Linked DNA regions of Oreochromis niloticus. The protein of the gene in region 2 purifies or fractionates together with the protein of the main gene of each other region. This does not show direct contact. Links are inferred from orthologs where the notes say so. Each region holds a gene or a part of one and is shown on either strand. Other genes may lie near its edges.

What was found.
Region 1: the proteins of fxr1 (region 2) and orc2 purify together in Homo sapiens (affinity purification with mass spectrometry; 4 studies listed by BioGRID and IntAct, with this or other methods). This does not show direct contact. The link is inferred for Oreochromis niloticus from reciprocal best matches to the Homo sapiens genes FXR1 and ORC2.

Annotation. Positions count from the first base shown.
Region 1 is NC_031982.2:7,479,033-7,486,175, reverse strand, and holds the start of orc2 (origin recognition complex subunit 2), read right to left. Parts: upstream 3,055-7,143; 5' UTR 2,896-3,054; intron 2,637-2,895; 5' UTR 2,635-2,636; coding exon 2,565-2,634; intron 2,473-2,564; coding exon 2,314-2,472; intron 1,701-2,313; coding exon 1,614-1,700; intron 1,494-1,613; coding exon 1,404-1,493; intron 1,313-1,403; coding exon 1,281-1,312; intron 1,189-1,280; coding exon 1,131-1,188; intron 1,027-1,130; coding exon 716-1,026; intron 626-715; coding exon 516-625; intron 433-515; coding exon 300-432; intron 211-299; coding exon 114-210; intron 40-113; coding exon 1-39. Other genes in the region: uncharacterized protein LOC100700781, read right to left, coding at 3,749-3,838, 3,929-4,034, 4,136-4,198, 4,347-4,473, 4,961-5,079, 5,502-5,682, 5,788-5,938, 6,276-6,405 and 1 more. UniProt on the Homo sapiens protein: Component of the origin recognition complex (ORC) that binds origins of replication. DNA-binding is ATP-dependent. The specific DNA sequences that define origins of replication have not been identified yet.
Region 2 is NC_031981.2:30,302,445-30,309,954, reverse strand, and holds the start of fxr1 (RNA-binding protein FXR1), read right to left. Parts: upstream 3,084-7,510; 5' UTR 2,979-3,083; intron 2,877-2,978; 5' UTR 2,814-2,876; coding exon 2,763-2,813; intron 1-2,762. UniProt on the Homo sapiens protein: mRNA-binding protein that acts as a regulator of mRNAs translation and/or stability, and which is required for various processes, such as neurogenesis, muscle development and spermatogenesis.

The DNA.
Region 1 (7,143 bases), on a different chromosome or scaffold from region 2:
CTATATTATGGATGAGCAGGTACACGTGCAGATCTGGGCCTGTGAGGACATCGGTGTAAAACATGCGGTACAACCACACATGCTTGGGATGCACAGGGGTTTGATGGGCTTACTATCTTTTAAGGTGTGGGAGATAAACTGGATCTGGTCCGAGGGGGTTCGGAAAGTTCCCTGGTGATCCAGAACCTCACACGTCAGAGCATTTAATATCTGTGAGAATTTAATTTTCATGATCAGGGATATTTATTTTATTATGCAATTTATGCAAAATATTTTCATGTGTGTGTGTGTATACTGACTGATTTAAGAGTAATGGAAGGGAAAAATCCATTAACCACAAGATGAATTTCTTGCGACAGATGACACTCCCTGAAGTCTTCCAGCAGAGCTTTTTTGCTTCCCAGACCGTAGACCAGCACGCTGAATCCCAGCCTACACACAGACAGGCACAGACACTTTTTACTGCTCTTAAAACACCAGAAAAATGCATACAACTACGTTGCAACCTCACTTACTGTAACTGTAACATCCATTTGCTAAAGTGGATTCTGTGTTTGTCGTGCAGCTGCTGGATCTCTTTTGAGTAGCAGGATTGTTTCCCCTCCAGAAGTCGGACCAACATTTCCTGCAAAAACAAAAATAAAGATAAATTCACACTAAATCTATTAGGAAAGCAGCTCATTTACAATGTTTCAAAATGCCGTTAAAAACAAACCCTGTCAAGTTTAGGGGTGTTCAAACGCTCCAGAGTTCGGTCTGATGTCAACACTTTCGAGCTGCCGTGAGCTTCGAAGTACTCCTCAACCATACTGGGCTGGTTCTGAGGTTCGGGCGTGCTCTTGCTCTTCTTGGCAGGAGTCTTGTAGAGAGCCGCTGATAAACCTTTACTGGGAGTTCTCGGTGTGGTCACGTTCTCTTTATCCTCTTTCTTTCCTTTCTGCTCTTCCTCCAGCCCATCTTCATCCTCCTCCTCACCCGAGTCAGAGGGTGAAAGCTCACTGTCGCTGTCTGACCGCAAGCTCGGAGCTAAAAACAAACAAACAAACAAACAAACAAAAACAAAACATTTAGATTAGAGGAAAGGTGAAATTTCACTTAGAATGAATTGAATTATTCCCAGTTAGACTCACTTGCTATTCTCTTCCTGAGCCTGTGTGGTGTTGTAGAGACAAACTGGACCTTTTTGCTCTGCCGTTAAATAAAAATAAAATAAAATTCTTAAGTTGGCACCAGAGGTCGCTGGCTTTGGACTTTAAGTTTAAAGGTTTCTATGGTCTCACCTTCTGTGGTGTTCTGCTTTCACCTCTAGGGTCTGAAATAGAAGAAAAGAAAATATTTAACTGTGTGAAAATGAGCAAAAAGATGAGTATACGGAAAAGATTATGAAAGTTCATTGTACTCACTCCACCCCGTTCGACTGGGGGTTGAGGGTTCAAAGTTTGGGGTCGTGCTGAAGCTCACGCTTTTTCCAGGAGTCCGAGCCAGCTCACTTGCTGTTTATGGAAAGTGTGCAACACAAAATGAGCATATATGGTATCTAAAGAAAGAACTGGAAGGAGATGTATAATGTGCGAATTTTCCGATCTATGTGAGAAGAGAATGGAGGCTCTCACCAGTTTGGGCCATGCTGTGGCTGCGTTTAACTTTCTGAAAGGTAAAGATGGAGGATCCAGCCACTCTTGACAAGCCATCTTCATCTTCTGTAAATCCAAGAGAAAACTGGTCATTTTAAAATGAATTTAAAAAAAGAAAGAAAAAAAAAGCCTCATATATTTTTCATGCATTTATACAAAGCTAAAATTTCACAGCATTATGAATGTTCAAAATTCCCACCAAAAATTTTAAAAAGATTTTTAAACTCATGTAATCAAACAACCTATATGCCAGTACTGATAAGCATATAATATGTTAATATCAGCAATATAGTCCATCTGACAAACACACTTAATGTGTGCAATGGAGTGAAACTGAGGTGTACAGAAAGTCTCCTGCCATAATCATAAGTACCTCTGTGACATGAATATTTTTACAAGGATTTTGTAGGGGATTTGAGCTAACTATATGCAAATCTCTGTCATTGATTTGAATTTCAGCTGGTAAACCAGCACTTGCGAAATTCCACATTTGTACTTTGCCTGACTGTGTAGAGTTAGAAAATCAGCCAACGTCTGTCTGCATTTTTCCAAACGTATTTGGGTAAATCTACAAAGAGCAGTAAACCTGAGTCAGCAGTATCGTCAGCTGATCACGGTCTGTCTGCAAAGAAAACAAACCTCCCGGTGAAGAAAGTCATTACCCCTGCTCAGCACTCACCTTCTGCATTATCTGTTCCTAAAGCTTGGACATAATCCTGCTCATCGTGGACTCCATTTTCATCTCCATCATGTTCCGCATCCTCTCCGCATCCCCGTCGTCCAGCCGGGCTCTTAAACTTTACCATCTTCTGAACGGACCCGGCGATGCTCTGCGCAACTTATGGAGGTACGCACAGTACAGACAGCAGAGTCAGAGAGACACAGAAGTGCTCGTAAACTAACATTTCTACAGTAGCAGAGCATCCATACCCTCCTGCTTGTCCACGATGTGCTCCAGGACATCGCAATCCCCGATGAACTTCACCTCCAGCACACTCATGACTAAAGATAACAACGACAAACAGCGCGACTTTAGTTAGTTGCTTGTAACACTACAAAATATGCTTTGCTTTTCAGAGGTGTAGTTCCTAACGCAGGTTTTCATTCAGTCCGTTTCTATTCACGAACACTGTGGGGGCGGCCATTCTTCTCAAACAGCGAGAAACAGCCCTGCTTCAATCAGCGGCCACACGCCGAAAGTCCAAATAAAAGTGGGAAATAAAAACAGAAACAAAAATGCGTCTAAAACGACACAACTTACTGTACAGCGTCAGTACCGCCACACAAAAATGTAAACACAACTTTCACACAGTGACAGCAAGGCAGTGTGCTGCTGGGACAAGTTTCCGCGCCATCCTGCTGAAGTTTTTAAACCATGTGACAAGTGAAAGGTCATTCAGTGGCCAACTGGAACGCTGCTTCCAGCTAAAACCACATTTCCCAAGATGCACTTCGAACAACAGCTCAGTCTGTGCGGCTAGAACCCTACAGGGGAAGGGTTTTTGCCGACTGATTAATTATTATATTTTCAATAAGTAATGTAGGTTACTATTAATGCGAATGATGTATTTTCTGTAATATTAAAAAAAAATAACATTTATCACCAAGATATTTTTTACGTGTCCGTTCAAACGCTGGCAATTATCTATTCATAGATTACAGAAAAATAGAAGACTAAAGGGGACCAAGAAACTTTTTATTTTGTTAGAAAAAATAAATCACAAAAGTTTGCAGTTGTATATAAAAGGTCATTCATTAGCATTTATTAGCACTGGTATTAATAGCTGATAGCACAAAACATCTTTCTTTTTATGAAGTCATCACTAGCTAGGTCTTCTTGTAGGCCGTGAAAAAGTGACAAAACAAGTGCAGAACACAATTAATTTTAAAGAGATTTAAATTAGTGAAACAGGGTTTCTGTTACAATATGAAACTTCTGAAGCCCACAGTAAGAATATTTTCATTAATTGTATGTTTTACCATCAAGATGACACATCTCACTAACAAAGAAGGAATCGCTGTATGTGTTTCTAATGTGTAAATAATTTGGAATGAGTCTCTATATAGCTCATCTGTCCCAAAGAGACAAGAAGGGGGAAACATCGTCCAGCTCTTCACCACCCGCGAGTGGGCGTCCACTTCCCTACCAGACGACCCTCAGAGTGTACATGGTACACAGGATGCATCACTGCTGTTGCACATGACTGCAGAAAAAAGGCATTGTCTGACAACAGGAAAATGTACAATAAAACTGATGTGTCAATAAGATGTGCTATAAATCATTCAGTACTAACGTGGTAGGGAATCAGTGTGAGCAGAGAGCCCAGGGGGTATTTGCTGTAGTCCAGTTGTCCTGAGATGGGCTCCACTCGTCCATGCTCCTGGGTCATAGACAACAACCTGGAGGGAAACGCCAGTCACGTTTAACATTGGTACTGAGAGTTATAGAGAAAAAAGATACTAAAATAGACTGAGATTTCTTTTTTTTTTTGAAGCATTACTTGAGGTTTGGATGCCCCTCGATCACAGCATATCCAGTGGGAAGTTTCCCAGCTCCGTCCAAACTGAGAGACACAAGCAAGAGTAGGTAAAAGGTTAAGTTACATGGTTGTTCCAAAACAGAGCTTACACTGATGATAGCAGTGATGAGTAAAACAAAAAACAGAACATAGGGGATAGGTATTAGCTCCCACTGAATGAAGTTGAACCCACCTGATTCCAGCCCATCCACAGTCAATCAGGAGCTGGTTCCTGTGTGGACAGTGACCGATGACTCTTGTGAGAACCCTCACAGCCACGTCCTCCAGACAGCATGAGCCAATCGTAGACTGCTGCACATCTGCATCCCACAAACATACATTTAAAAGAAATTGTTATTTAAAGGCCCTTTTGAAAAATATATTTTAAGTGTGACATGTGACATGTCTCCCGACTATTCCTCAGCTCAAAATACCAATAAGGTCATTTATCCTGCCATACCTATAGACTGTTTAATAAACCTCTGCTCCAAACAGGCTGTTTCAGCGCCTGTAGCTTTAAATGTTGTCGGGTCCCGAAGTGAACTAGAAACATGTCGGGGCAAGTAGACAAAACTAAGAGGCAGCAATATCATGACCTTAAGAGCACAGTACGGTCAGGGACTGTTTTTATAGGGCAAAGGGCTCTTTCGATTCTATGTTTCCCATCTGATGTGAAATCAAAGGGCATGGTCTGTGTCATGTTTACTGGGTCACGCTGGGAATATTGAATATACACAACAAATAACGAAAAAGTGGATTTTACACGTCACACTTAAACTAGGAAACAGTGGGTCTACGTGTACACACCATAGAAGACGTAGTTTCCTGGGTGGACCTCGCTAAGCTGCGCCATGTCTTTGACTGGATGGCTACAGGTAGGGGTGGAGCCAATGCTGGACTTACAGGTGATGCCAACAGCCTTCAGTCTGACACAAAAAATCCCAAAACAAACAAACAAAAAACCAGTTGAAAGACAAAGTTAATGCAGAATTATTCTTCCAGGTGGCTCTAAAAGAGTCAATCACACCCACAAGAAAATGCTCAAATTTAGAGGAGAAATAAACATGTTTACAGCCTGGTGCAAAAGATGGGATACATCATTTTTAGATATGATGTATGATTTATTTGTTGCTTCTGGAAACAAAGCTGTGTGACTCAATACAAGAAACCTGTGGGCTGTGAAACTAAAACAAAGATGTTAAAATAGGTCATAAAAACTAATTTTTCAAGAGTATGAGCAACAGCTTTTATGTCGTGTGTGTTCTTAAATAGCCAGTGAAATAAAATGATTGATTAGAGCAGCTTTAATGAGTCAGTGTACATGTATTTTTTTAAACTTTCAGCTTACTTTTCCATGAACTGCAGAGTCAGTTTGGTGGTTTCCTGGGCAACAGCCTGTATTTGCTCAACTCCTGTGCAGTAATAGGTATTCCCACAGTGGGCGTACACTCCTGTAAGTTCCACGCCCTCCGTCTTAGCGATGGCTTCAGCCAGTTTGAGCGCTCCTGGCTCCGAGTGCAGGACGCCAGCTATGACAAAGAGCCGACGCATGATCAAACCTCGTGTTAACAGAGAGGTGAAGTGTAGCTCAGGCACTTATGATTAGATCTATTGCGGTTTCCCTGCACGTTTACCTCTCCCATTGCCACAGTCGAGTTTGAGCCAGACGTGCCACTGCCGACCATCTTTCAGGGGTCTTTTTCGGAGCTGCTCCAAAGCATCAGGATGGTCCAATAAAATCTGGAAGAGATCCAGTCTCTCTGACAGGGCTGCACAACGCTCTACCTAAAGACACACAGAGACATACATTAGAAATGGCACAGAGAGCACAGCTGGGACATTAAAAACTAACAAATATAAAACAGATGAGAAATTATGTCAAAGTAATGGCATAGAACTGGAGCTATTTTACATGCAAGTGCTATGGCGATATACATGTATCATATATTTACATATATGTATTGTTTCTAGTGATAATATTACTAAATATGATTCATAGTTGATACATTTTCAGCAGGCTCAGTTATTAATAATATATTTTTTCCATTTCTAATTTTTTACAGCTTTTATGATTTCACAGAATATAAAACAAGGACACATTTAAAGTGTGAGCTGAGAGAACCTTATCAAAGGGAACAGAGTAGGCATAGAGGATGTCATCATATCCATGGTCAGCATAGAAACAGGCCTCTGCCAGGGTGGAAACCACTATGCACCTCTGTGATCCACCCGTCATAATGTCAGCACACTCACTGGACACACACAGAGACCTCATCAGAATCCTGTATACACAGCAAGTCTGTAAGCATGTGCTGTGTGCGTGTCTATGCGTGAGCATATGAATCCATACAGGGTTTTGTGGGTCTTCATGTGTGGACGAAGCTGGACTCCCAGTTTCTGGCAGCGCTCGATCATCCTCTGGGCATTCCTCTTCGCTTTATCCACATCCACCACAAAAGCAGGAGTAAACAGGGCTGAGAGAGGATCTCCCTCCATACTGGCAGCACTGGAGTACACACACACACACACAGAGCACTTCAGATATTTCCCATGCAATTAAATTCTATTGCATGATTGGCTCAACCAGCATATTTCTATAGTTATATTTATAAGTATCTGCTATACATGCACGAATCAGCAAGTAAACTTCATTACACTTGGGTGTGGTTTTGCAACGTCTCTGATTATGTAATGCAGCGCACTTTGAACTTTGACAACACTAACTTAAACTTAAACACTAACTTTACAAATGGACTGCAACTCATTAAGCAGTATTTTATTCCTCCTCTTTTTGTTACTATAAAGACCTTCCGATAATATTATCGTGCGTCATAATGATAGATAGAATAAAATCAGACTGCATTCGAATCTGCATAATAGCGTTTGTGAAACAGTGAGGGTAAACACTAGCACAATAACAAGCATCGGAAACAACAACAATAACAACAAAAAATGCAGACAAATGCAGCACAAACCACAGTTTACCTTTT
Region 2 (7,510 bases):
TGGATGTCAATTAGCAGCTGACTGATACTGATGACCGCCACAACACTCAATGAGTAATAGCAGCCAAACTTTCAAAATAAAACCAAGGTATTTATCTATTAGTAAACTGATCGTCAATGGCTGTAATTTTTCATATGGATGAAAAAATGTAATAACTATACTGTTGTTAAATCTCTGCAGCAGAGATCTTAAAACTGGACTAGTAAAATCTGAAAGCCATAAACAAAGACTTCTTTCAGCTGGTTCCTTCAGGGGTTCCCACAGCAGACCATCTGCTTCCATGTCACCCTATCCCTAGCATTCTTCTTTGTCACACCAACAGTCTGCATGTCCTCCATCATTACATCCATAAACCATCTGTGATGTCCTCATTTCTTCCTGCCTGGCAGCTCCATCTTCAACATCCTTTTTCCATTATGTCCCTCCTCTGCACATGTCCAAACCATCTCAGCCTTGCCTCTCTAACTTTGTCTCCAATATGCTCAACCTGAGCTGTTGCTCTGATGTACTAATTTCTAATCTTGTCCATTCATTACATTTTCTACTGAAAATCTAAACATCTTCACTTCTGCCACCTCCAGCTTGGCTTCCTCTCTTTGAATCAAAGCCAAACTTGCAGGCAGTGAAACCAGCAACTTTCAATACCCTCTTGAAAATCTTCCCTTTCACTTTTGGTGCTATTCTTCTGTCAAATTTCAGTACCAGAAAACAAACAAAAGAACAACAAAAACAAAGGACAGTGGCAATGAACTGAAGAAAAGTATTTTAGTGAGACACTGACAGCTTCATGAGCTTCTTCAGGTAATTTGGGAGTTAGATCAATTACTGTCAGAGAAATAGAGCTTTGTTGTCACTGTCTTAGTTTATGTTTTAACATATTTAACACTGCATTTATTAGCATATTATCTGCAGTAAACAATCATACTTTCTTACACTATGTGAGATAGCATGTCTGAAACCTTAATATGTAACCACAACCGATAATAGTCTAGCACTACTATTTAATACTGTGGTATGTTAACACTGCGACAGTGACATCAGCATCACTGATGGTAACAGATAGCGACCAACACAGATAGTTTAGTGTGTAAAATATCTAAATAAATAAATAAATAAATAACAAAATGATAGATTTGATAAGTATGGACTTGTTTTGCAAGAGAAAGTTTTGAACTGCTTTCCAGTATTTGCCAAAAATCTGTTTTATCTGTTGTAAAATTACTTGTTAGCCTATAATCTGTCAAACATATGGCAAATATATCTCTTATGAAAGGTATCAAGTCATTTTGATGCTACAAACAACATTCCTATCACAAGGTAGAAGCTGCAAAATTACTTTTATATATCCTTTATTTATCCAAAAAGTGTTATTGACATTACAAAAGTCTTTTTCAAGAGAGATCTGGCCAAGAGGGCAGTGGAAAACGCAACAAATATATCATCACAGTTCTTTCATACACAGGCACAATAACAGAGAGACGTAAAAACACTGTAAAACTAGTAACTTCTTTACTTAACGTATAACTCCTTCATAAATTCTAATGACTACAGTCTATTTAACAATATAAGTAAAGATATCATTAAAAAAAGCAACAACAAAAAGAAAACACACACACGCACACACAGAAACATCAGAAATCAGTTTTGACAGTGGATCATTTTTTGGCACCACACCTGTGCTAGTGTTAGACGTGAAAGGTACCCAACCCCACACACCACACTTGACAGTACTGAACCCCAGGTTCAATGCGTTCAGACACTTATTTAAGCCATGTGTCTCGCTTGCGTGAAGGACGGTGTTGATTACATTCAAAGAAAGCACACACACGTATGTTTAAAGAGTTTAAGACACAGCGGTGGCAGGGTAGACAGAATCGCCCAGGGAAAAGGGTTGGGTTAAATAAGGAAAAGCAATGAGCACAGTGTGAAAATGCAGTAGTACAAAAGAAGTCATGGGCTGTGAAGGTGAGACAAGAAAGAAAAACTTGGAAGTTTGGAGAAAAATGAGAAGAGAGAGGAGACATAGGGGGAGAAGAGGCGAGGGTGTTGCTGTGGGCAGCACGTCTAGAAATAGCTTTAGAGTCGATGGTATCAGTGACCCACTCGACACACATGCCAGCTGGTCGGGATTGACAAGGAACAGCTGGCTCACACATACCGAAAAAATAGCTTCGGCATGATGGAGTATCAAATAATAGACAGCGACAGTCAGTCGTGAAGTCTGTGCAGAGAGACTTCAAAATCTCTCACACCACCAACCACGGTGCCTTCACAACATGACACACTTTAATAAACTACGTGAAGGTATAATGGGCTGGTCCTCCGTGTTTCTGATATCAGCTCAATAGCCAATGATGACACATGCAGATACTACTTACTTCAGCAACATCTTTCGACGTCAACAGCTAGGCAACTATCAAGTTAGCTAACTTTCAGCTCGAGAAAGCTGCACAAGAAGTCAAGTAAAATTAATAACTGCTACCCTGTGTTGTGTATTCAAGTTATCGCATGCAAGACTGCGGTTCTTCCAAACTGGCTTTAAAGAAAGGTCCTCAAAAGCGTCAGCTGGCGAGGACATGGGAGTGACGCTAGCTTAGCTTGCTAATTATGGCTAGCACTGCTAGTACAAGCTAATATCGAACTCTCGGGTACGTACAGAGGAAGTCGGATCATGTTGCCACAATCCACGAGACTTAAACTAGAATACTGTACCGTATGAAAAACTTTTATGCTTGAAACTGTATTGATAAGCCGGTATTTACCTTGTAATAAGCCCCGTTGGAGCCACGGACCTCCACCGCCAGTTCTTCCATATTGGAAACGCAAAGGATGTTGGGACGACAGGTGCTCCTTCAAGCGTCAGGAGGACTTGACATCTTAGCACCAGTAAAATGTATAACAACGAAGTACATGTAAAATTTGCACATTCAAAACTGAATTAAAATGAAAATATATCTTGTTATCCTAATGTAGCTTACCTGACAAACCAAAAGTGAAACTACAAAAGATGAATGCCCTTTTATTTATGTTTTGTAGTTTCAGGCCCGTTTTATTGCTAATGTACATTGAGAGCTTGTTGCTGTAGTTACTGTTTGCTGTATCTACTCTTGCTGTTATAATGACAATTAGAAGACACCTACTAAATCACTTTCAGTACAAGTTATTCCATTCTTTGCAATAACACAGACAATCTATAGTTAGACTGAGTTAATCAAACCAAACTTACTTAGTCAAGATAGCTGACCCAGTTGCAATACTTTTAGTAAAAAGTAAATCCCCTTTTCAGTTTCTTGAGCAGTGTTTCCTTGCAGAACTACGGTGGAAGGATTATAACACAAAAAGTTTGGTCTGATTATGTGATATTTAGGAGAAATTTTTCTCTGAAAATGTAGTGGAGTACCAAACCCCCCCTCACAAACTTAAAGACAGTCAATTTCAGGAGGAATTCAATTAAGGTTCATTTTATTTACATACTGCCAAATCATAGCAAATGTTGCACTTCATCCTGCAAGGTAAGGAGCTTAAAGCATTAGAATGAAAAGCCCAACAATCAAACGTCCCCCTATGAGCAGGCACTGGGTGAAGGTGGAACAGAAAAACACCATCTTAACAGGAAGTACCCGCTTTAAGGAGGGGCAACTATCTGCTGCTACTTCAGCATTACTTTCCTGGACTCTACTGTCAACAGTTCTAAATTTATATGAAATTGTTAAAAAAAAAAAAAAGTCCACTATCAGAATATAAATGTAGGTCTCTTTTATTGGGACACTACGTAGGATACAGCTTGAAATGCTGCTCTAAAAGTAAACATCATCAATAATGAGAGTTGTAGAAAAAGGGTCAAATGGTTAGACTATGATAAAAAATGACATTTGCTGTGCATATCAATGTGGTGCGAGATTCAAACTTAAGAGATACATTCTCCATTTTTTAGTTTTTTAATTTCCAGTGTTTAAACCTTTTTTAAAAATCCAGCTTTACCTGCCTATGAAACTACATCTTCTCAGGTATGAGAAAATGTAGCAATGTACTGAGCAGCAGGGAAAAATTAAACAGTCTGATGAATAGCTCTGAAAAGGCAAACTTGTGTTGCCTTAGAAGAAGAAAAAAAGAAGAATACAGGGACCTCACCTCATTTTTGCGAAGAGTTCTGACTGCTCGCCTCTTTTTTTACAGGTGGGGATTTGGTCCAGTGAATCCCTTTTCAATCCCTGCATTGCCATTGTACGTACAAGTCACTTCAAAGTCATACAGAGTGATGACATTTGTCCTACAGTGAAGCATTCATGGTCCTGATGAAAGTTCATTCTTCCAGAATGATGACAGTAGTTACTAAAATGATTGGTGTGCTTGAAAAAAAAAGCCCCCAAATAGATATTCTAGCCACCAGGCGTACGCACAGGTTGGTAATGTTAATTATAATATTACCAAAATATTTTGGAAAACATAACAAATTTCTTTTTTTGCAAACTGTTCTAGAAACCTGTGGTGCAATGCCTTATTGACAGACTTATTTTCAGTGTTTCTGTTATCAGCCAACTGACATACATTCTGAGGAGTAATGCAGTATTCAATATTCTTTTCCGGATGCTATGGCCTATTTCCTTGAGTTCAAATTAGTAAGTTTGGCTCGTTTGTATAATGATTTATCACAGATAGCCAAGTTCACATTACCTTTTAAGAGATCTTCATTTCTCCTGCACAGAGAAAAGTGTATAAAAGCCATGTAATACAAAACAGCTGACCTCAAAATGTTCAAAATTGTCAAAATATCTCAGGTACTGAGAATACCTTCACATCCAGTGCAGGTGACATTTGCTTCCAGCAAATGGTGCTTGAATCCAATATTATTTTATCCCTGTTTTCACAGGAAAAATACGCCTAATTTGAGTGTATCTTTTAATCATTTATTTAGCTAGTATAATTTTCTAAAAGCTCCCTGACAGAGTTACTCTGTAGATTTGGTAGAGGAACGTGTAACACATAAGACTCTACACTGAATGTGGCAGACAGGCAAACAGAGAGCAGGTGCTGGCTCATCTTTTACAAACAGCCACTGTGACACCTAGTGGCGATTAGTTATTCTCTTGAGGTCTGCTATCACTGTGCAGCAGATACTATATTATTTCTGATCAGACCATCAGACTGCACCAGAGATAAACTATTTGTTAAAATCATCCTCAGCAATATAACATCAGTGTGTGCACAGTGTACACTGATATTTGCAAGCTAGTATTTTTATTCATCGATACATGTCAAGTTGGATGGAGAACAGATTCATCTAGTTTGGAAATGTCACTTGGACATTTGTTTAGTTATTAAAAAAACACCAAAAGGATCACTTGCAACAAATAGGTGGTCATATCTGTTTGTGTAGTTGCAAATAAAGAGGAAAGCCCCAACATCCAAATTCAACTAAAACTAGAAAAATTTGCATTTCCTGCGAAAATGCAGTGTGGATGCTGTAAAGCTGAAGCTGTCAGCTGAAACTAGCTGAAAAAGCTGAAAAGTTGCAGAAGTTGTAAAACCTTTGCAAAAAATTGTAATAACTTTGCAGAAGCATAAGAACTTAGCAAAAATGTAATTACTTAGCAGAACTGCAATATCTTAGAGGAAACATAATACTTGGCAGAAATACAATAGCATAGCAGAACTTAGCAGAAATATTGTAACTTACTAGAAACACGATAACTTCTCAAAAATACAAGAATTTAGGAGAAATAGTATAAGATAACAGAAAGAATATATTTAGCCAAACATTCTTAAACATTACAGAAATACTATGATTTAGAGAAACAGTACAACATAGCAGAAATGCTGTAATTTGACAGAAATACTATATTTAGCACAAATCTTATAAAATAGCAGAAATGCTGTATTTAGCACAAATACTGAAAAGCAGCAGAAATGCTATGACTTAGCACAATAGTAATAACTTAAATAGAAAAATTGGAAAAGCAAAATGGACAGCTGAAAAAATCCTGAGCATGCTAAGGGTCCCTCAAATGTAATTGTTAAATGAAAAGAAAATCAGCAAAAAAAAGTATAACAGTCACACAATCACAAATATGGACACATATTGAAACACACATGCACAGAGAGACACACACAGGACCAAATTCAGTCAACCAGTCTAAATATATTGAATTAAAATCATACAATAAGATGCTCCCATAAAAACTCTCTCTCGCCCTCCCTTTCTCTCTCTCTCTGTCTCACACACACACACACACACACACACACACACAGCAGCAGCAGCAGCAGAAAGTCAACAGGGGCTGTTAACAGCATGTTTCTAGGTCAGTCAAACAGCTGTGACCTTCTCAATTTGAATCCACCAATCAGAGAGGCTGTGTGCTTTTTCCCGCCAAAACTGGTGCACTAAGTGCAGGCTTTTACACATGCAGCACAGAGAGAGACAGGATTTTTGCAGTCTATTTCTCATAGTGAGAATTCCCCTCAAACAAACAGCCATAAATTTCTAACCGTAGGGGCTAAAACAGTCATTCTTAGACCATTTTATTCAGAAGACATAGGGGAATCTTGAAATGCTGACCATTTAAAATAAAAATATGAAATATTAGAGATATATGACATAGATGATTGGTGGGCTTAGAAGCCACGAAGGTCCCAATATGCAAATTTGAATGTGCCAGGACTCAGATATGATTGGCTGGCTGAGAAGCCATGAAGGTCCCAATATGCAAATTTGAATGTGCCAGGACTCAGATATGATTGGCTGGCTGGGAAGCCATGAAGGTCCCAATATGCAAATTTGAATGTGCCAGGACTCAGATATGATTGGCTGGCTGGGAAGCCATGAAGGTCCCAATATGCAAATTTGAATGTGCCAGGACTCAGATATGATTGGCTGGCTGGGAAGCCATGAATGCCCCAATATGCAAATTTAAATGTGCCAGGACTCAGATATGATTGGCTGGCTGGGAAGCCGTCCAGGTCCTGATATGTAAATTTGAATATTAGGACTGACTCCCTGGGGACCTGGCAGAAATATATAGAAATACAATGATTACCCAGAAATACTGCATTTAGTAGAAATACTATGTTTTAGCACAAATACTATAAAATGGCAGAAATACTATAATTAAGCAGAAATATTATATTAAGTACAAATCCTATAAAATAGCAGAAATAGTATGATTTAGCACAAATGCTGTATTTAGCACAAATCTTATAAAATAGCAGAAATAGTATGATTTAGCAGAAATGCTGTATTTAGCACAAATACTGAAAAGCAGCACAAATGCTATGACTTAGCACAATAGTAATAACTTAAATAGAAAAATTGGAAAAGCAAAATGGACAGCTGCAAAAAGTCCCACAAGCACAGAGAGACACACACAGGATCAAATTCAGTCAACCAGTCTAAATATATTGAATTTAAATCATACAATAAGATGCTCCCATAAAAACTCTCTCTCGCCCTCTCTCTCTCTCTCTGTCTCTCTCTCCCACACACACACACACACACACACACACACACACACAC